2 linked regions of the Daphnia pulex genome follow. The protein of the gene in region 1 purifies or fractionates together with the protein of each later gene. This does not show direct contact. Links are inferred from orthologs where the notes say so. Each region holds a gene or a part of one and is shown in the gene's direction. Other genes may lie near its edges.

The links.
Region 2: the proteins of activin receptor type-1-like (region 1) and bone morphogenetic protein 7-like purify together in Drosophila melanogaster (affinity purification with western blotting, with the first as the bait; 3 studies listed by BioGRID). This does not show direct contact. The link is inferred for Daphnia pulex from reciprocal best matches to the Drosophila melanogaster genes sax and gbb.

Annotation. Positions count from the first base shown.
Region 1 is NC_060019.1:5,444,903-5,453,506, forward strand, and holds activin receptor type-1-like, read left to right. Parts: upstream 1-3,835; 5' UTR 3,836-4,061; coding exon 4,062-4,149; intron 4,150-4,239; coding exon 4,240-4,445; intron 4,446-4,510; coding exon 4,511-4,727; intron 4,728-4,823; coding exon 4,824-5,050; intron 5,051-5,108; coding exon 5,109-5,186; intron 5,187-5,249; coding exon 5,250-5,386; intron 5,387-5,449; coding exon 5,450-5,672; intron 5,673-5,807; coding exon 5,808-5,995; intron 5,996-6,071; coding exon 6,072-6,124; intron 6,125-6,193; coding exon 6,194-6,366; intron 6,367-6,489; coding exon 6,490-6,630; 3' UTR 6,631-7,212; downstream 7,213-8,604. Other genes in the region: queuosine salvage protein-like, read right to left, coding at 1,019-1,115, 1,191-1,264, 1,340-1,522, 1,587-1,922, 2,026-2,158, 2,224-2,321, 2,424-2,538, 3,518-3,669.
Region 2 is NC_060021.1:584,504-592,770, reverse strand, and holds bone morphogenetic protein 7-like, read left to right. Parts: upstream 1-3,392; 5' UTR 3,393-3,517; coding exon 3,518-3,908; intron 3,909-3,971; coding exon 3,972-4,343; intron 4,344-4,402; coding exon 4,403-4,681; intron 4,682-4,743; coding exon 4,744-4,820; intron 4,821-4,980; coding exon 4,981-5,241; 3' UTR 5,242-5,410; downstream 5,411-8,267. Other genes in the region: transcription termination factor 3, mitochondrial-like, read left to right, coding at 1-72; reactive oxygen species modulator 1-like, read left to right, coding at 1,089-1,225, 1,294-1,402; endoplasmic reticulum-Golgi intermediate compartment protein 3-like, read right to left, coding at 206-341, 404-498, 557-623, 819-858, 1,563-1,691, 1,762-1,936, 2,001-2,251, 2,336-2,468 and 2 more; arginine-glutamic acid dipeptide repeats protein-like, read left to right, coding at 6,499-7,296. UniProt on the Drosophila melanogaster protein: Required for the growth of imaginal tissues and for patterning of the adult wing.

The DNA of each region.
Region 1 (8,604 bases):
GCCACAGAAGAATGCTTTAAAAAACACCATCAGTTCTTCTTGAGAGGTCGAATAGATGGATTAAAGCATTTTCCACCAATACCTCGTCACACATGACAATCTAAATAATAAGGAAAAATCAATTACCAAGTGTTTCAGTGGGAAAATGTTAAAAATTATAAGTAAACTATACATGTTTGGGTCCTACATATGTAAACAATGCCCATATGCCCTGTACAAAACCATTTAATTAATATGACTTCCACTACTTCAATAGTGGAAAACTTAGATGCTACGGATTACCTGAATGATGTAGTATTTTTCTATATTTTTCTTTGGTCGAAGTTGTTATCCAGCTCAGAGAAAAAACCCTTTGAAAAAATACTTCCATAAGAGCCCATGTAAAAAAAGGGTGTGGTTTTATTAATATGGCGGATTGCAGCGTTGTCGGACTACAAGAATCCTGCTATCCGCACGGTGCAAGCAGAGGTCTATACTAGAATTACCTGAAACAGTTAGGAAATATATTAAGGGGGGGAATTCGAGCTGATTTTAACGTTAGATTTTTCAAGCAAGATAAGAAAACGCCCTAACTTGGAAAATAAAAGCTGGTATCTGCTTTAAAAAAAGTGGAGCGAAACCCTAGATTAAAACTTCCATACTGGAATTAGCTTACAGTTAGGAAATATATTAAGGGGGAAATTCAAGCTGGTTTTAACAAGCAATCTCCCACTCAACCGCACCGAAATACCCCCTTTTTTCCGGAGGTCGTTTTGGGATCGTAATCCGGAAAAGGACTCTAAAAATCCGGACTAGGTCTATTCTGCTCGGAATCGCAAGGCGATTCTAACGCACGGACACGCACGCACGGACTTGCGTCCTGCTCCGGCTTTTTCTTTCAATAAATTAAACAATTTTAAAGAATTTCGATTCAAGACATTTATTTATGATTCTGTTCCTCAATTTCCTTCGCAAATCGCAATTTCCATTCACTTTCGTTTCCTTATCAAGTAACATGTTTCAACATATAAAATTTTGATTAATAATATATGCAACGGACCTTGTGGTAGGGAACTTTGGCAAGAGTTTGAGCAAAACGCCTCCGGTATTCCCACAAGAAATAATCAATCATGGCACTGCAGTTTTATGTAAAAAATAATTAACAACAAAAAATTTTGAAATAATAAATGCAATTTAAAAAAAATACATACCTGTTCATTGGTAAAGAATTTGTCGTTGTATTAACCTGATGTGATTTTAATTCTTCCTTTATTAATTCCACCGACTAAAAAATTTAATTCATGTTAGTTATAACGAATTGCTTTTTTTTTACTTCTCAATCGTATTATCGTTAGCATACGTGAATCGAGCACCCACGGATTTCCATTTCTTCCCGATCTCCATTTAAAAACATATGATTAGCCAATAACAATCCATGAAGTCTATCGGAATAAGCCATTGCCCCAAAATGAACCAGCGACTGAGGGACCCTGTAATCTGCAAACATGGTGATGGAATCTACATCAGTAAAATTTCCGAATCCCTAAAAAGACATAGATTTAGTAAACATTTTTATTAATTAAAAAGTTGAATTTTTCTTCGAATACCTTCCCTTTGAATATACTCCAAATGTCGGCAACAAGAATTTGTGCTCGCTTGTAAAAGGAAACCTTTTTTCCTTCAATGACCCCTTCATCTCGAAATGATGGGAAGTTTGAAATAATTAAATTTAAAAGCTTTGTGGCACTGTTTGCCGATTGCTTGATGCAATTATAAAATTTCCCATCAAATTTCTCATTTAGGATTTTCCCACATTCTTGCAAAATTCTCCATCTCTCTTCTAAAAGTGGAATAGACTCGCCGGTGCTAGAAATAAATATTTTATCCACTTCTTCTTTTGTTATAGTGGCATAATATTGTGACGATGTTATTGGAATGTCAGCCTACGCAAAAACAATGAAAAATACAACAAGCAATGCAAACAAAATAAGTTACTTTATTATTTAAAAGAAGTTCTAACGCAAATTTATAGATATCACTTTCTACCTCCAGTGCTTTAGTAATCGCAGCGCATAAAGCCATATAACCAGTATACTGTTTTTCGTGGAGCTCAACAGAATAGTGTACATTTTCTTCTAAAGCCCAAAATGAAAAATTTAGAGCATCAGCTACAAATAACCTAAGATTTATGTTTTATTAAAACAGACCGATAAAAATCTTTTTTTTTTTTTTTTATGAAAATACCATTCAATACTTGAAACATCTTCAGTAACAGGCAGTGGATAGGAATGGATCATCATATTGCTTGGTTCGAACTCACGTGAAGCGATTGCTCGTGAAATCTAAAGCGAAAATATGTTTAGACCATGGTCTTTTTGTACTACGACTATTGTACTACAACCATCTCTTTGTCGATACAAAACGAATGTGAAAAGGAATAATACCTCTGATGCAATTTTTCTAATGCCATCTGGATTGATTTCAACGTCCTTTGACACAGAAGCAATGAAAGCAGCAGATTCTCTCGGATTCATCTTGCTCAGAGGTACCGTTAGTATACTAGCCTTATAAAAAAAAAAAAAAAAACATTAATTTTGTTATTTGTTGTTGTTTTGTTTTTTTTCTGATTACAAATGAAACACAATTTAGTTTTTTATTTCATACATGCCCAGACATAATTTTTACGTTTTTACATACCAAATGAAATAAATTGTCCGCTTCGCATGAAGCACCTAATTAGACAGTGTAGCGATTGCGTTATTGTTTCCAGGCATTACTTTTTTTTTTTAAATGCAATTTGCGATTACTTGAGCAGTTACTTACATATGAGAAGCAAATCAATTTTCTATGCACACGACATAAATGGGAACGATTGGCAGTTATAGACTGTTTATTTGTCATACGATAAGGTATGATGGCCTGTCTTTAACGTGATAGTAACTGAATATAATCTCCATCCAATAAATCCAATAGCCGAAGTGACAGCTGGAATATTCGTCCTGCTTCGTCCAGATTGCTAAGGCTGTTGCCAAGTCTATTCCGATTAATTAGGGTGACACCTCAAGAGCACCTCACACAAATGTCAAATTATTTTTGTCAGCTGCAAGGTGCTCTAACACCTAACAGTATAGCCATAGTCTATACTGTCTATACTATAATAAATAAATAGACCTGGATCATATGCTGAGATACAAGTGTCTCAAATTAATGGTGGTTTTTTTGCCTCTTGGGATTTTTATCTCTTATCTATACAACTTGGAAACAAATGACGCCATTTTTTGTGTCAAGTGCATTGCTTTTTTATTTCAAATGTAATTTCAATTAATAGTGGTTGGAGGTGGAAATTCTTTTTACATGTCACGAATGCGTTTTGAACGAATTACCGGCGGACTGCCGGCTGGTAGAGGTTACGTTTTATGACTTAGGCCGCTCGGGTTAAAATGTAGTAATTATTATATTCTAGCTTGCTTCTAGCAAAAAAAAAAAAAAAAAAAAAAAACAAATACAAAACAAAAACAAAACAGAAACAATTAGTTACCCGAAAAATTGTTGGCCAGAGAGCTTGAGAGCTTGAGAAAGCAGTGAGAGCTGTGGACGGCTGTGGACCTGTGTGGTGAGTGGTGAGAGGCCAGTCAGGCCACTGAGACTGCTACGTACTGACAGCACAGGAGACCATGTTGCGGAGACCATGTTGAGTCAGGAGCACGAGCACTAGAGCATTAAATTATGGTTCTGCACTGCGCATCCAAGTAAAATTAAATTAGTGTTGGCAGAATACTCTTTTGCTTTTGCTTATGCTTTTGCTTTTGCAATGTCAATTCAAATAATCAAATTTCAAATGCTATAAAAATAAAGTTTTGAGACATTTGGCAACATGGTGGCAACAAGTCTTTGTTTGGGAGTTTGGGAATTTACTCATTTAGGATCTTTTTCTTTTTGCATTTTTTTTTCTACAGGCTGACTAAACTTATAACATTAGTTATAAACTGTATTGAAGTTCAAGTATATACCGAAGTTCGCTATTTATTGAATTCTTCCAATCTTTCTGATGGTGAAATTCATTCCCTGCCCCATTTTTTAGAATGATTTATTCAAAGGCACTGCGAATTTTTAGTTTTTCACTGCTTGTATCTACATGCGTTGTCTCTGACGACGACGGTTCCAGTGAAGGTAGGCCTGTGTATCAATATTCTATATTTTTGTGAATTGTCTGTTATTTAAATCGGTAATATGTAACAACTGTTGATTCATTGATTTCAGATTTAGTTTTTTCAAGCTCTTTACTGGAAAGTATGCCAAGTTTTCCAATGGGTATGTTTGAAGATGATGAAGAAAATAGCCTCCCCATATCTGGAAATGGAACATTTGGTATACCTAACTTAAACAAGCATCATCCTAAATATCAATGCCATTCCTGTGAACAGCCAGACTGTTCAGAAGAAACCATTTGCAATAATGCCTACCAGGTCTCATTATTGTACTTTAATTCTGTGTAAAATTTATTTACTAATTTTTATCCATTAATGATTAGTGTTGGAAATCTCGTGTTCGAGATATTTCTGGGGTTGAATCAGTTTCTAAGGGTTGTACTACAAATGCAGAACAAGTTGTACTTTATTGCAATACTTTGTCATTTGATGGAAATGGAGAAATTCAACAGGAAAGCAGCTCTTATGCCATAGAATGTTGTGAAGGAAATTTTTGTAACAATGGCACTTTTCCCATGCTCCCTACCACTCAATATTCAGGTAAATAGAAAGGCTACAATGTGGTTCTAAATCCATATTTATTGCTTAATTTGGCTACATCATTTTTTGTCCCCCCCCCCCTCCCTTCTTTTGCAGACAACTCAGAAGATGAAGAATACTATGCAACTGTTTTACGCTTAATGCTAGCTATTCTGTGCCCTGTTGTGATTTTGGGCATCGTTCTGGCTGTAATTCTATTAATGATGCGGCATTGGCACAGACGCCGAATGGCTCGGCTCACCACTATGGAAGGTTCGCAAGATCCTGATTACACTTACAGGGATGAGTTACGAGTGACAGCTGCTGGAGACAGTACTTTAAGGGTATTTAAAATTATTATCATTTCTTTCTATATATCTAACATCAAATTTTGAAAAATAGGAAGTTTTCGAGCATTCCGTTACATCTGGAAGTGGCTCTGGAATGCCTCTACTTATTCAGAGAACTTTGGCCAAACAGGTATTCCATGCCGTTTTCTACGTTCTTGATGGAGATTAAAATTTTTCTTGTCCAAATTTACAGATTACTCTAGGCGAATGTATCGGAAAAGGACGTTATGGAGAGGTTTGGAGAGGATTGTGGCATGGAGAAAGCGTTGCTGTTAAAATTTTCTTTTCTAGAGATGAAGCATCATGGACAAGAGAAACAGAGATTTACAGGTATTCGTCAAATTATCTTTTTAGTTCCAAATTAATTTAAATAATACATTTTATTCCACATAGTACAATGTTGTTTCGCCATGAGAATATTTTGGGATACATTGGATCTGACATGACGTCTCGTAATTCTATTACGCAATTGTGGCTCGTTACCCATTATCATCCCTTAGGTTCTCTCTATGACCATCTGAACCGCCATTCGCTTAACCATGTCCAACTGTTGCATTTATCTATATCGGCTATCAGTGGCATTCTCCATCTTCACACTGAGATTTTTGGAACCCAGGTACCAAATTCATCTCTGTTGTTCCTTCTTCACTTTGAATGTTTAATGCGATCTAGCTATGTTTTTTTTATTATTATTATTATTATTATTTTCTTGTGGTAGCACATTCGTTTGTTCAATTTTATATTTATTTAGGGTAAACCTGCAATTGCTCATCGAGACATTAAAACGAAAAATATTCTGGTCAGATCGAATGGAATGTGCGTTATAGCGGATTTTGGTTTGGCAGTTACTCACACTCAAACAACTGGTGAAATGAATGTTGCCAACAATCCTCGTGTGGGCACTAAACGCTATATGAGCCCTGAAGTGTTGGATCAAACGTAATTACCTATTAATTTTTCGCATTGTATATGGAAACATTTTTAACTTTTTTCCTTTCTCTGTTTTTCAAAACAGAATCAATATGAGTATTTTTGAATCTTTTCGACGGGTGGACATGTATGCTTTTGGTGCGTCTTCGTTAACATTTTTAGAATTCTTTTATTATTTTGTCTATATTTTTTATTGTGTTTTCATAGGTCTTGTTCTGTGGGAAATGTGCCGACGTACCGTGTCGTCAGGATTTGTTGAGGAATACCGGCCTCCCTTTTTTGATATGGTGCCGTCAGATCCGAGTTTTGAAGATATGCGTAAAGTGGTTTGCATTGACCAGTATCGACCAGTTATTCCTATGCATTGGGAATCAGATCCAGTAAATATGTGTTTTTCAACACCTTCATAATTTTATGAAAATCTCTACCTTTTTATACTCTATTAGATCGACTCATACTGTGAGTGGTTACGCTAACTATGTTCTTATCCATTATTTCTGTAGATTCTGTCGGGCATTTGGCACTTAATGAAAGAATGCTGGCACCAAAATCCCAACGTCCGACTCCCCGCACTTCGATTAAAGAAATCTCTGTTGAAACTAGCTATGCAGGATCCATCTCTGAATTTTAGACTTGATTTTTGACAAGCCAAAAGTGGTTGGAGTGGCATGAATTTCAATGAATCTCTCCAAGCAGTTATCAAAATCATGTCTCAAAAATAGGTATCCAGTCTGTCTGTTATTCTACGCTTTTCTGCTACTATTGGCAGATTCTTAATATAAAAACGTCGCATCAAGAACCGGACGAGGGTCGTGACAGCCTGATTTTGCATACGGGCAAAAAATGCAAGTGCCATTAAAGGGTTGTATTTGCCTTGCTCATTGAAAGTAATATTTTGTGTGTTGTTGACTATTGTGTGCCATAAGTGACATTGTTAGAGCGAGAATTCATCGACGTGTTTTACGCGCTAAACGATTGATTATCCTTATTGTATCGAAATCGAATTCCTTATTACTAAAATTATTGCTTACTGAAAGTTTTTCATTTTTTTCCATCGTACCTATAACTATGACCCGAAAAGAAATTCTGTTGACAATAGAAGGCATGAAGGTAGGGTCAATTATGAAATTTATTGTATCGTCCTTTCATGAAATTTTGTTTAGTTTACATTTTTTGATGAGTCTGACGTAATCTCGTTGAAAATATATCCGATTTTTTATGCAAAATTATTTATAAAATGAAAAAAATCACTGAATTAGTGCGGCGGCCCAAAAAGATTGTGGATCACATCACCCAACCCCCAAAAATGCATGGTTTTTAACTAATTCGCTGACGTTACCTTATTACGTTGATCTTAAAACCGGAGTAAACTTTCAAATTAGTTTGTCTAGCGAACTTAAAAATTATTTTGTACTTCCAGCTACATTGAATTAAGCAAAAAAAAATTATTTTATTTTCACTAATTCTGAATAAGGAGGGGATTTCAGTTATTTTATGTAGTCGTATATCTGAATCTGACTGAATTAGCTAACAAATTCCAAAAAATATGGAATCTTCCTAAAATCCTACCTTACGGAATATTTTTTGTTGTTTCTTCTAAAGTGGAAAATTGATGTTTAATGAAAATTTTAATTTCTAGCGATGACTGGATATTAATAAAGACACACTAATAAGGATATTTATTTGATTAATGAAAGAAATTTAAATTCTTTCTCATTAGTATTCAACACGCCCGCTAGAGATGAGAGTTCCTACGCGAGTTTATAGATGTTGGTTGTATAAAAAAACGAACTAGAAACTTCTGAAGATCGCCAACACTTTTTTATGAGATTTTAAAAGAGACTATAATTTTAAGATCCCATTCATAATTATTATGAGACGGATTTTCCACTGTCTATTGAGTGGCTCATCTCCATGTCTCTGTTTCTCCTGTCCCTCTGGCGGCCATACTCCGACATACGTGGAGTGCTGTTTATTAGTTCTTGTCGGCTGAGACAGTAGAGTGTGGAAATCGTTTATTCTCCAATGGAGTTTGTCTTAATTTTCTACCGTTTATCTTCCCCTCAGGTAAATTAAACACGAATCTATTAGATTGTCATACCTTGGCGTAATCCCCGTTGAACAGCAGCAACTGATTGGGTTTATAAATATCTGTATTGGGCGTTAGTTTCGACTTTCACTCGGGTCTCGGGAAAGTATAATTTCGGCTGCTATGGTCTTGCAAAATCAATTTTTGTTTCTGCCTTTGTTGAATTAGGCCCAAATAATGCTGAATTAGGCCCAAATAATGCAAAACATCCATATTTTGGCAAAGGCACTAGCATTGTTCCAAAGATACGCGATTGACATGTACTGTCAAGTAAAAAATATTAGTTTTGGAGTGATTTGTATTTAATCAATATACGCGAAAAGCGAACAACTCAGCATTAGACATCTGAATTCAGCTTAACATACTGCTGTTTAATGGGATTGTTTATTGTTTTACTCCTTAAATAATGAAGAAAACCCTTATGCTCATTTTCTGTTAGTCTATCAATAGTTACTTTAATTTTGTCAACAGTCAAACACTAGAACTACACAGATGCTTCCACCATATGTTTTCATTTTCACATAGTAAT
Region 2 (8,267 bases), on another chromosome or scaffold:
GATTCGAACTTTGCTGTTCACGTTGCTAAAGCTTCCGTTCAAGAATTCAATGATTTCTGTAAAACTGTGTGATGTTATCGTTTTAATAATAATAATAGCGACCTAAAAATGATTTGACTAGGACTTATTTTTATTGCAAACCTATTTAAACAAATTAAAATGGCTGTGTAAGAAATAAAGAATTAATCGAGACAGTGAATTTTATTCATGTAGCTTTTCCCAGTTGCAATTTTTGTTGCAAAAGTTTTGAAGACCGGTATAGTAGGGAATCAATAATTCCGGCAACAGTAAACACTCCGCCGATAATTGTACATACATCAGTGGCAAAGTGGCCGATCGATCTGTTATGAATCATAAATGTTCTAGAAAAGCACAATGTCATTTGGATATTTTGAAAAATTACCTTTTACTTTCCTTGTACGAAATTTGTAAAGGGCTCATTTCATAAGTAAAAAACACTCCTGGAACTCCACTTTCACCCCCATAAGACGAAACAACCTGGAAGAAAAAAACGTGGTCAGTTGTTGAGATGTTGTTTTAGCTAAAACAAATTTACCTTTTGATGGCGTGTGACAGAATATTGGTTGGTGTGAAATTCCTCTCCGTCCAGCTTGACGTACCATCTAAAGCAATTGTTAATGTTATTGATTGTTATAAAATCATGTCTGGAAGTTTCTTGATAAAGTAATTTTTTAGCAACTATCAATAAGTAATTTAGCTTTTCGCGCGTGCACGCACTGCACGGGGCTGCTAAAAAACTTACAAGTTACAAGCATGACTAAATACTAAAATGTTAAAAGGAATATTTTAATACATACGTCGGTACAACTTTGATGTAATATTGAAACATCATAGCTCCTGTAAAAAAACAAACAAACAGAAATAAGTTTTTATTTTTGGCAAATTTTCTTAGCGCAACATTGTTTAAATTGAATTTAAGTCACAACGCTGTCTTCCTATAAAAGCAGACGACATATCGAAGCTATTAAGAGTTATCGCAACAGTCACGCTTAGCTGTACTACGTACAGGGAAAAAATCAGATTCTTGTATTTATTATCCGTTTTTCGCTAACTTAAAATCAAGAAAGATGCCTATGCCCGTAGGAGGTGGATACCAACAAGGCCAGCAACAGAGCTGCTTTGACAAAATGAAGGTTGGCTTCATAATGGGTTTCAGTATTGGCATGGCAACTGGAGCTCTATTTGGTGGTTTTGGAGCACTAAGGTAATGACAACTTGAACACACATGGCAAAGTTTTCTACTAATACTATTTTTCTTTTAACTTATTGCAGACAAGGACTGAGAGGGAGAGAACTGATCAACACTGTTGGGAAAATCATGGTCCAAGGTGGAGGTACATTCGGTACATTCATGGCTATTGGAACAGGAATAAGATGCTGAAGCTAATAGTAATCCCAATTTGAAATTAAATTTAGTAGAAAGCATCAATACATTTGTAATGAAAATCAGATCATTAAATTTCCTATAACTATTTTAACTATCCTAGTATCCTCTACAGTCTTTATTCTTGGCCCTACTGGTTACAGGTCATTTGTCTTACCTTTGTCTGCAGTAGTGAGGAAACCATCTAGAGGGTTTTCCTTTCCAATTAGAGAAGTTCCAAATGATAGTGAATTAATGTGATGTGTGACATTAAAATCTTCAGATGAATAAGGTTGGACATCATGCACTGTGAAAGTCAAATGTGATACTTTTAAGTTTTCATTCTTCAGTTTGACAATTGAAAAAAAAGAACTCACCATGAACATGGTTAATAGCATAACTTTTCCCTGGAGCAATGTGAAATGAACCACTGACTCTATTGACTTCCAAATAACCGTAAAGTTTGCAGCCTTCTTTAAACGCAGAATAGTCTCTTGTCAAATTTTTTTCATTACGGCACTGCTCGAATTCCTCCGGTCTGAAAGCCCAGTTCTAAGCAAGTATTCAAAATATCACTACATGATGCAGAAATGTAAGACTAATTGAGATCCTTTACTTTTTGTCTGTAAGCTTCCCGAACTTCCGCACATGTTTCACAACAACCTTCTTTAGCTCCATAACAACTATTACAGGGTTTTGACGCTGATTCTTCCGTGGATGTTTCTGTTTTGTTGTGAGTTTTGTTAATCTCTTCTAATTCAGCAGCTTGTAAAGGCTCCCCTAACAAGTTTAGTCTTTGTTTGAAAATGTTATGTTCAACTCCAAACTGCTGTTCACCAGATGAATCTACAGCATCCACACTCAAGTCTACAGAAAAAAAAGATTGACTTTTGTTGACATTTTGCAGTGAGCATTAGGACTAATTGTAGTTATATCTCATACAACACTTACATGAACAAGAAATTGTTGGAAATGTGACATCAAAGTTGATTTTCATGTTTGGAATTCTAGTTGTATCCACATACAATTGTTCTGAAACATTTATTGATAGAAAATCTCGAAATTCAATCACAAATAGGAAGGCCTGAATCAATGAAAATTTTAGTAACTTTAAGATATTAGAATATAAGAATTGTAAATACCATAATTATACTGCTGAAAACTGTGACTGCAAAGAAAGATGAAACAAGATAGTAAATAGAAATACTTATAATCTTTCTTCATTGCAAACCTCAGGATCAGTTTGAAAGTATCAACATCTTGTTTGATAGAAGCTTCCCAATACATACATTAAGTGATTTTCAAATTTACAAAAAAATACATACCCATAGCACCAGTTGCTGTTCTTATTGTAAAATCTTCTAAAGTTTTTGGATAAGCATCAATTGTTTTAAAAGCAGTTCCTAGATTCTTAATCATCTTTTATGCTATCTATGTTGGTGTGTTGAATTTATATAAACTGGGACTTCACAAAACACTAATGTATGTATAATATTGTGGGGTTATTTTGACAGCTGTGTTGATCACTTCTTGAGTCTCGATGTTCAGATAATGTTAGATAGGAGACCAAGATGGATTTTTGCGCCACCTTGGATTACAATTCTTAACTCGATAAGTTTTTATCATACAATTTTCATTCAACTACAATGAAATAAAATAAAAACAACACCTAGTAAATTGACACAAGTAGCAAAATTTGATTTGCAAAAATTTAAGGCTCCCATTGTAGATGTGTTCACTTGTACTGCAGTAGCGTACAACGTCGCAAGTCGCAACTGCTTCACGATCCCATCCCAAGATTCCCATCTATGTTTGTCTATTTGACTCTTTCAAAAACAACATTTTTGTAAAATTCGAATTACTTCATACGGGTTATTTTACTGTACATTTCGTTTTATTAAAAATTTAATCTTCAGCGTTCAATCATTCAATCAACACTGTGCATTTTTATAATATTGTAATGATGTGACTAATAAAATGGCAACTGCCTAATGATACCTGGAGGCTATTTGAATTCCAAAAACCTGGGTTCGTCTTCACGTCTCAGTTATGTGCAGTTGTCTTTCTGTGCGGCATTAGGCTTTGTCTTGCTCGTCGCTTTTTTGTTCAATCGGTTACCTGCATGATTTAATAATGAAGGATTTCGTTTTTGCCTTTCTTTTCGTTGCTTCGTGTACTGCATTGTCTGGTTTTTACTATGACAATGGCGTCGATCAAACAGTGGTTCACAAGCATTTGAACAAACGTGAGAAAAAAGAAATGCAGAGTGAAATACTGCATCTCTTGGGTTTAGAGCATCGTCCTCGACCCGTTTTGATGCTACCATCCAAAAAGAAACTTGAGGTGGATGATGGCCTTAGCTCTGCACCTCGATTTCTTATTGATGTGTACCAATCTCTTACGGAAGAAGATTCAGGAGAACTTAAACTGACTCCCGATCTGATTGAAAGGGAATTTAATGTTTCCGATTCAGATGTACACTCTATGGATGAAGCTGATATTATTATGAGCTTTGTTAACAGAGGTAACAGACAAATTACAATTTATACATAATTTTTGAATTAATTACATAGTATTTTCCCAACAGGACAGCACTTACATGGAATAAGACATCACCACAGTTTTGGCAGATTTTGGTTTGATCTTTCGGAAGTTCCAGCACAAACAACAGTGATATCTGCTGAACTAAGATTATACATCAACTTAACAATGGTTCAAGAAAATATGAATACTACTGAAAAAGCAGATGAAGAAGAAACTGAAGGAAAAAGCCAAAATTTTTCTATTACTGTGTATGAAATTGGACTGGAAGATTCATTGATCTACATTGATTCAATGGAAATTGACAGCCATCAAGAAGGTTGGGTAGCAGTCAATGTGTCTGTGCCTCTTCAGAAATGGCTAGTGAATCCTGAAGAAAATTTCGGGCTTCAATTGGTGTGTCGTTTATCTACTTCAGGTTGTTGATAATTTAAATATTTTATGCTAAACTAGTATTTCATGACAATTATTTTATAGGCAAACAAATTTCTGCCAGGGAAGTTGGACTAGTTGGGTCTCATGGCAATGACAAACTTCAACCTTTTATGGTAGCATTTTTTCGATCGTCGATGCCTTCAACCCAAAAGCAGCTTGGCCAACAATTGCCAGTTCCTCCCAAAGAACTAATTGACGATGAAGATTTTGAAAACGATGAAGTTCCAAAGAGAAGTAGCCGAATCAGAAGGCAAACTCCAAACAATAATAAAAAGCGCAGCAAAGATAACGAAGAGTTTGGAGGTTGGAATCCATATGCAGGTAATGTTAAACTAGATGTAGATAAATAAATTTTCAACTGTGATTTTAATTGACCATACTAGATTTAGATGCCAGACTATCGAGGCGTAGCTGTCAAAAAAAGAATCTCTACGTCAGTTTCCGTGATTTGGGATGGCAGGTAACTATTTTAAACCAGTTCACAAAACTAGATGTTTAAGGTGGCGATAATTAATTATTAACCATTTCGAAGCATTACCGGCTAAAATAATTAAATAAAATAGCTTTATTGTGTTCCCATGTGGGCTATCAGTTAAATTTAATAACGTTTTTCTTGCCAGGATTGGATTATTGCTCCCGATGGATATGCTGCTTCTTATTGCAATGGAGAGTGTTCGTTTCCATTGAACGCGCACATGAACGCTTCAAATCATGCCATTGTTCAAACGCTTGTTCATTTAATGAATCCGTATCGTGTTCCCAAGCCTTGTTGCGCACCGATCAAACTGTCCTCAATCTCGGTACTTTATTTCGATGACAATTCCAATGTCATTTTAAAGAAATATCGCAATATGGTCGTGAAATCTTGCGGTTGCCACTGAATATTCTAATTTTATTACCTTTCCTGATAACTAGCTTACCATTTAGCACATCTTTGTTTCATACGTGCTTTACGCTGAAAAACGACATTGTAAATATCTGTGCAATTAATAATTTCAAACGATAATGTTTCATAACATCGTAAATAAATGCTTCACCTCGTTTACGTAACTCACTTTAATTATTTATTGCCGTACCCAGGTGTGGGAGCGGCATTATTTATTAAAGCAAAACTTTTACTTTTCTACCCCATTAATAGGAATAGGAACTCAATGACTAGTTTTGGAATATGCAAATCCTCGAAAAATCTATTTTTTTTTTCTGCAGGAATAGTCGTGCGTATAATTGAAAACGATAAAGTGAAAGGTTATGAAAAAATATGTGGAGGCTGGCGGCAAGAATAAGAGTTAGAAGAGCACTGAGTGGCACAGAAAAATAACAAAGATTTTTATTATTCCTATGACTATTAGTGAAATTTTTCTGGTGCGTTGTAAGTAAAGTGTTAATTTAAAGATTCTTCTATTTCGACTCTGATAACATACAAATTTGCATATCTTGATTCTCGTCGTGCGTGTCCTAGTCATTTTGTTGTCTACACAATGGCCAGACGATGGCATCTAGTGACTAGGCATGAATAATTTAATGTTAATAATAATAAACTATCCATAGAAGCCACAACGGAAATATTTCTTAATAAAGCAGAAAAATCTTGGTTAAGAAGGTGATGATACAAAAAAAAATAACGCGTTGAGTTTTTTTCACATTTTTAAGCAACCTGGCTCCCACAAATTAGGTGTATGATGTAATAAGCTAAGCTCATTTTGTATTTTTGTTTCTTGAAGACTTTGCCGCAAAAATTCTGCGTGTTACCTCTAATCCCTTGAAAACTGGAAACAGGTAGGGCTACAAGAATACAACCTAATTAGATAACATTAAAAATAAAACACAAAACAAAATAAAGCATAAAGATCTTTCCACACCACATTTCCCTCCATTTACCCATAGCTCCTTCCCACTGTTTACTATCCTTCTATGTGTATGGTGTTTCATTTTTCAATCGCTAAAAAATGGCTTGTATATCATAGAAATCTTGCTACATTTTTCTTATGTGACACTTTTAGTTTACAATTTGGTATAGTTTCTGCATTATTTGTTCCAGTACTTCCTTCTAAAGTTCATATTTCACTTTTAAATAAGGTAACAAATCGAACGTCCATCCGTTTATTGTGTGTTGAATGAAAACATTTTTGTGTTGTAGAATGGAGGATCAGCTAGAGGAAAAAGACGTACTGGAAATGGGAAACTGGAACAGCGAATACGATATCGCTGAGGAAGAAGAAGAACGGCTTCTCGAGGATAATGAAATAACAGAGAGCAAACATGGATTCGCCTATGAGAGTGAACAAAACCTTTCCGACATTGAATACGAAGCCCCTGAAGTTGAGGAGGATATTTTAGATCTGGGACTCAATGAAGATATTATTGAATACGAAGAAGTATCCACAAATCGACAAGAAGCCTCCAAGGAGTTGAAAAAGAACACGTCAGCACAACCCAATCAAGGACTTGAAACATGCTCAACCAGTCAGAAAACTGGTACTGTTGACAGTGCTCCGACTCAAAGCCCCCATAAAAATGTTAGCGTCAGGAGTGGACAGCCTGCCAGTTCCTTCAAAAATTTCAACTTCAAACGCCAACCAAATTTCCCTATCCCTGTTCAGATGCGTAATGCACCTCCTTCCAGGATGACGTCTCCAGGATTTCATCATCAAAGACCACATTTTGATGGTCCAAATAGACCTCTGATAGGAAGAGCTCCATCAATGATGGACTACCATGGAGCTCGCAGTGGGTTTTCAAGACATTCAATGCAGATTGGATGTGAGCCATTATTCGTTCAAGATTTTCATCATGGTTTCCCAGCACAAAGATTTCAAAGATTCCCCATTAAAGATCATCACTTAGTCAATCATCCCCAATTCATGGATTATGATAGAAACAATAGTATCAATCGACTGTTCATCAATCCCCACTATCAAGGTTCAGTGACAGTACATGTTAGGAATATTCCATTCCAACAGACGACGACGAGATCAGGACGCCGCACAACAACACCGGCGCACCTACGCGACTATTGCCTTGGGGGCCCCCGATAGGTGGCCCCAAATTCAGTCGTTGTTACCCTACCCCCTATTGTTTATTCCCCCCCCAATTTACTGTACAATATTCAGTGTGTTAAAATAGACGAGAGGTAAAAGACACGGTTTTGTTCGTGTCTAATTTATTCAACTTGGAAACTGTAAGTAAACGGCCCGACACGCCGAACATCCCTATTACATTTTCTACATGGTCCTTCGAACGGTTTTTAACCCAGTGCATAACCGTGTCCTCCCTCTCAAATCACTCAAATCAACTCACTCAAAACTCAAAATTGTGAAGCCGGTTGGGGCTACACAATTCTAGACCCCCCAAACGTTTATCTTTGTTTCTTTCTTTTGTTGTTGGGTGGTTAAAATCTGCCCAAACTAAAACTACTAAATTGTAAAAACAAAAAAGACGTAGAAAAGGGGGGAACCTATGCCCAAAAATTCCATTTTTTTTCTTTCGACTTTTTTGTGCCTTTCGTTGTCGGGCTAGCCTGAGGGGGCGGCCATTGAACACGCCGTCCCAACCTCTGGCCCATAGATCGGCCTGGGCTAAACTACTGGGATTTCGTCTCCTCTTTTCATTGCACGTGTGTCCTCCCGTATCCATTCTTCGCTTGCTGATGGTATCGAGTCAGAAATAATCTTTCTCTTTCTCTCAACATTCACAGAGGAGCCGAAAGGTCTCCAAAACAACCGCTAAATACAATTATTGAATGAATATTCTCTGTCCATCTGTCCTTCCTTAAAAAAAAAAAGAAAAAAAACCCTCTTACATAGGATCCCGAAACATCGGTGCATCCAAACGAAAAAAAAAAAAACTATTTCTCTCTCACGCTCACTGTAGTGGCACGCCGCAAGGGGCGCCACCAACAAAAAAAAAA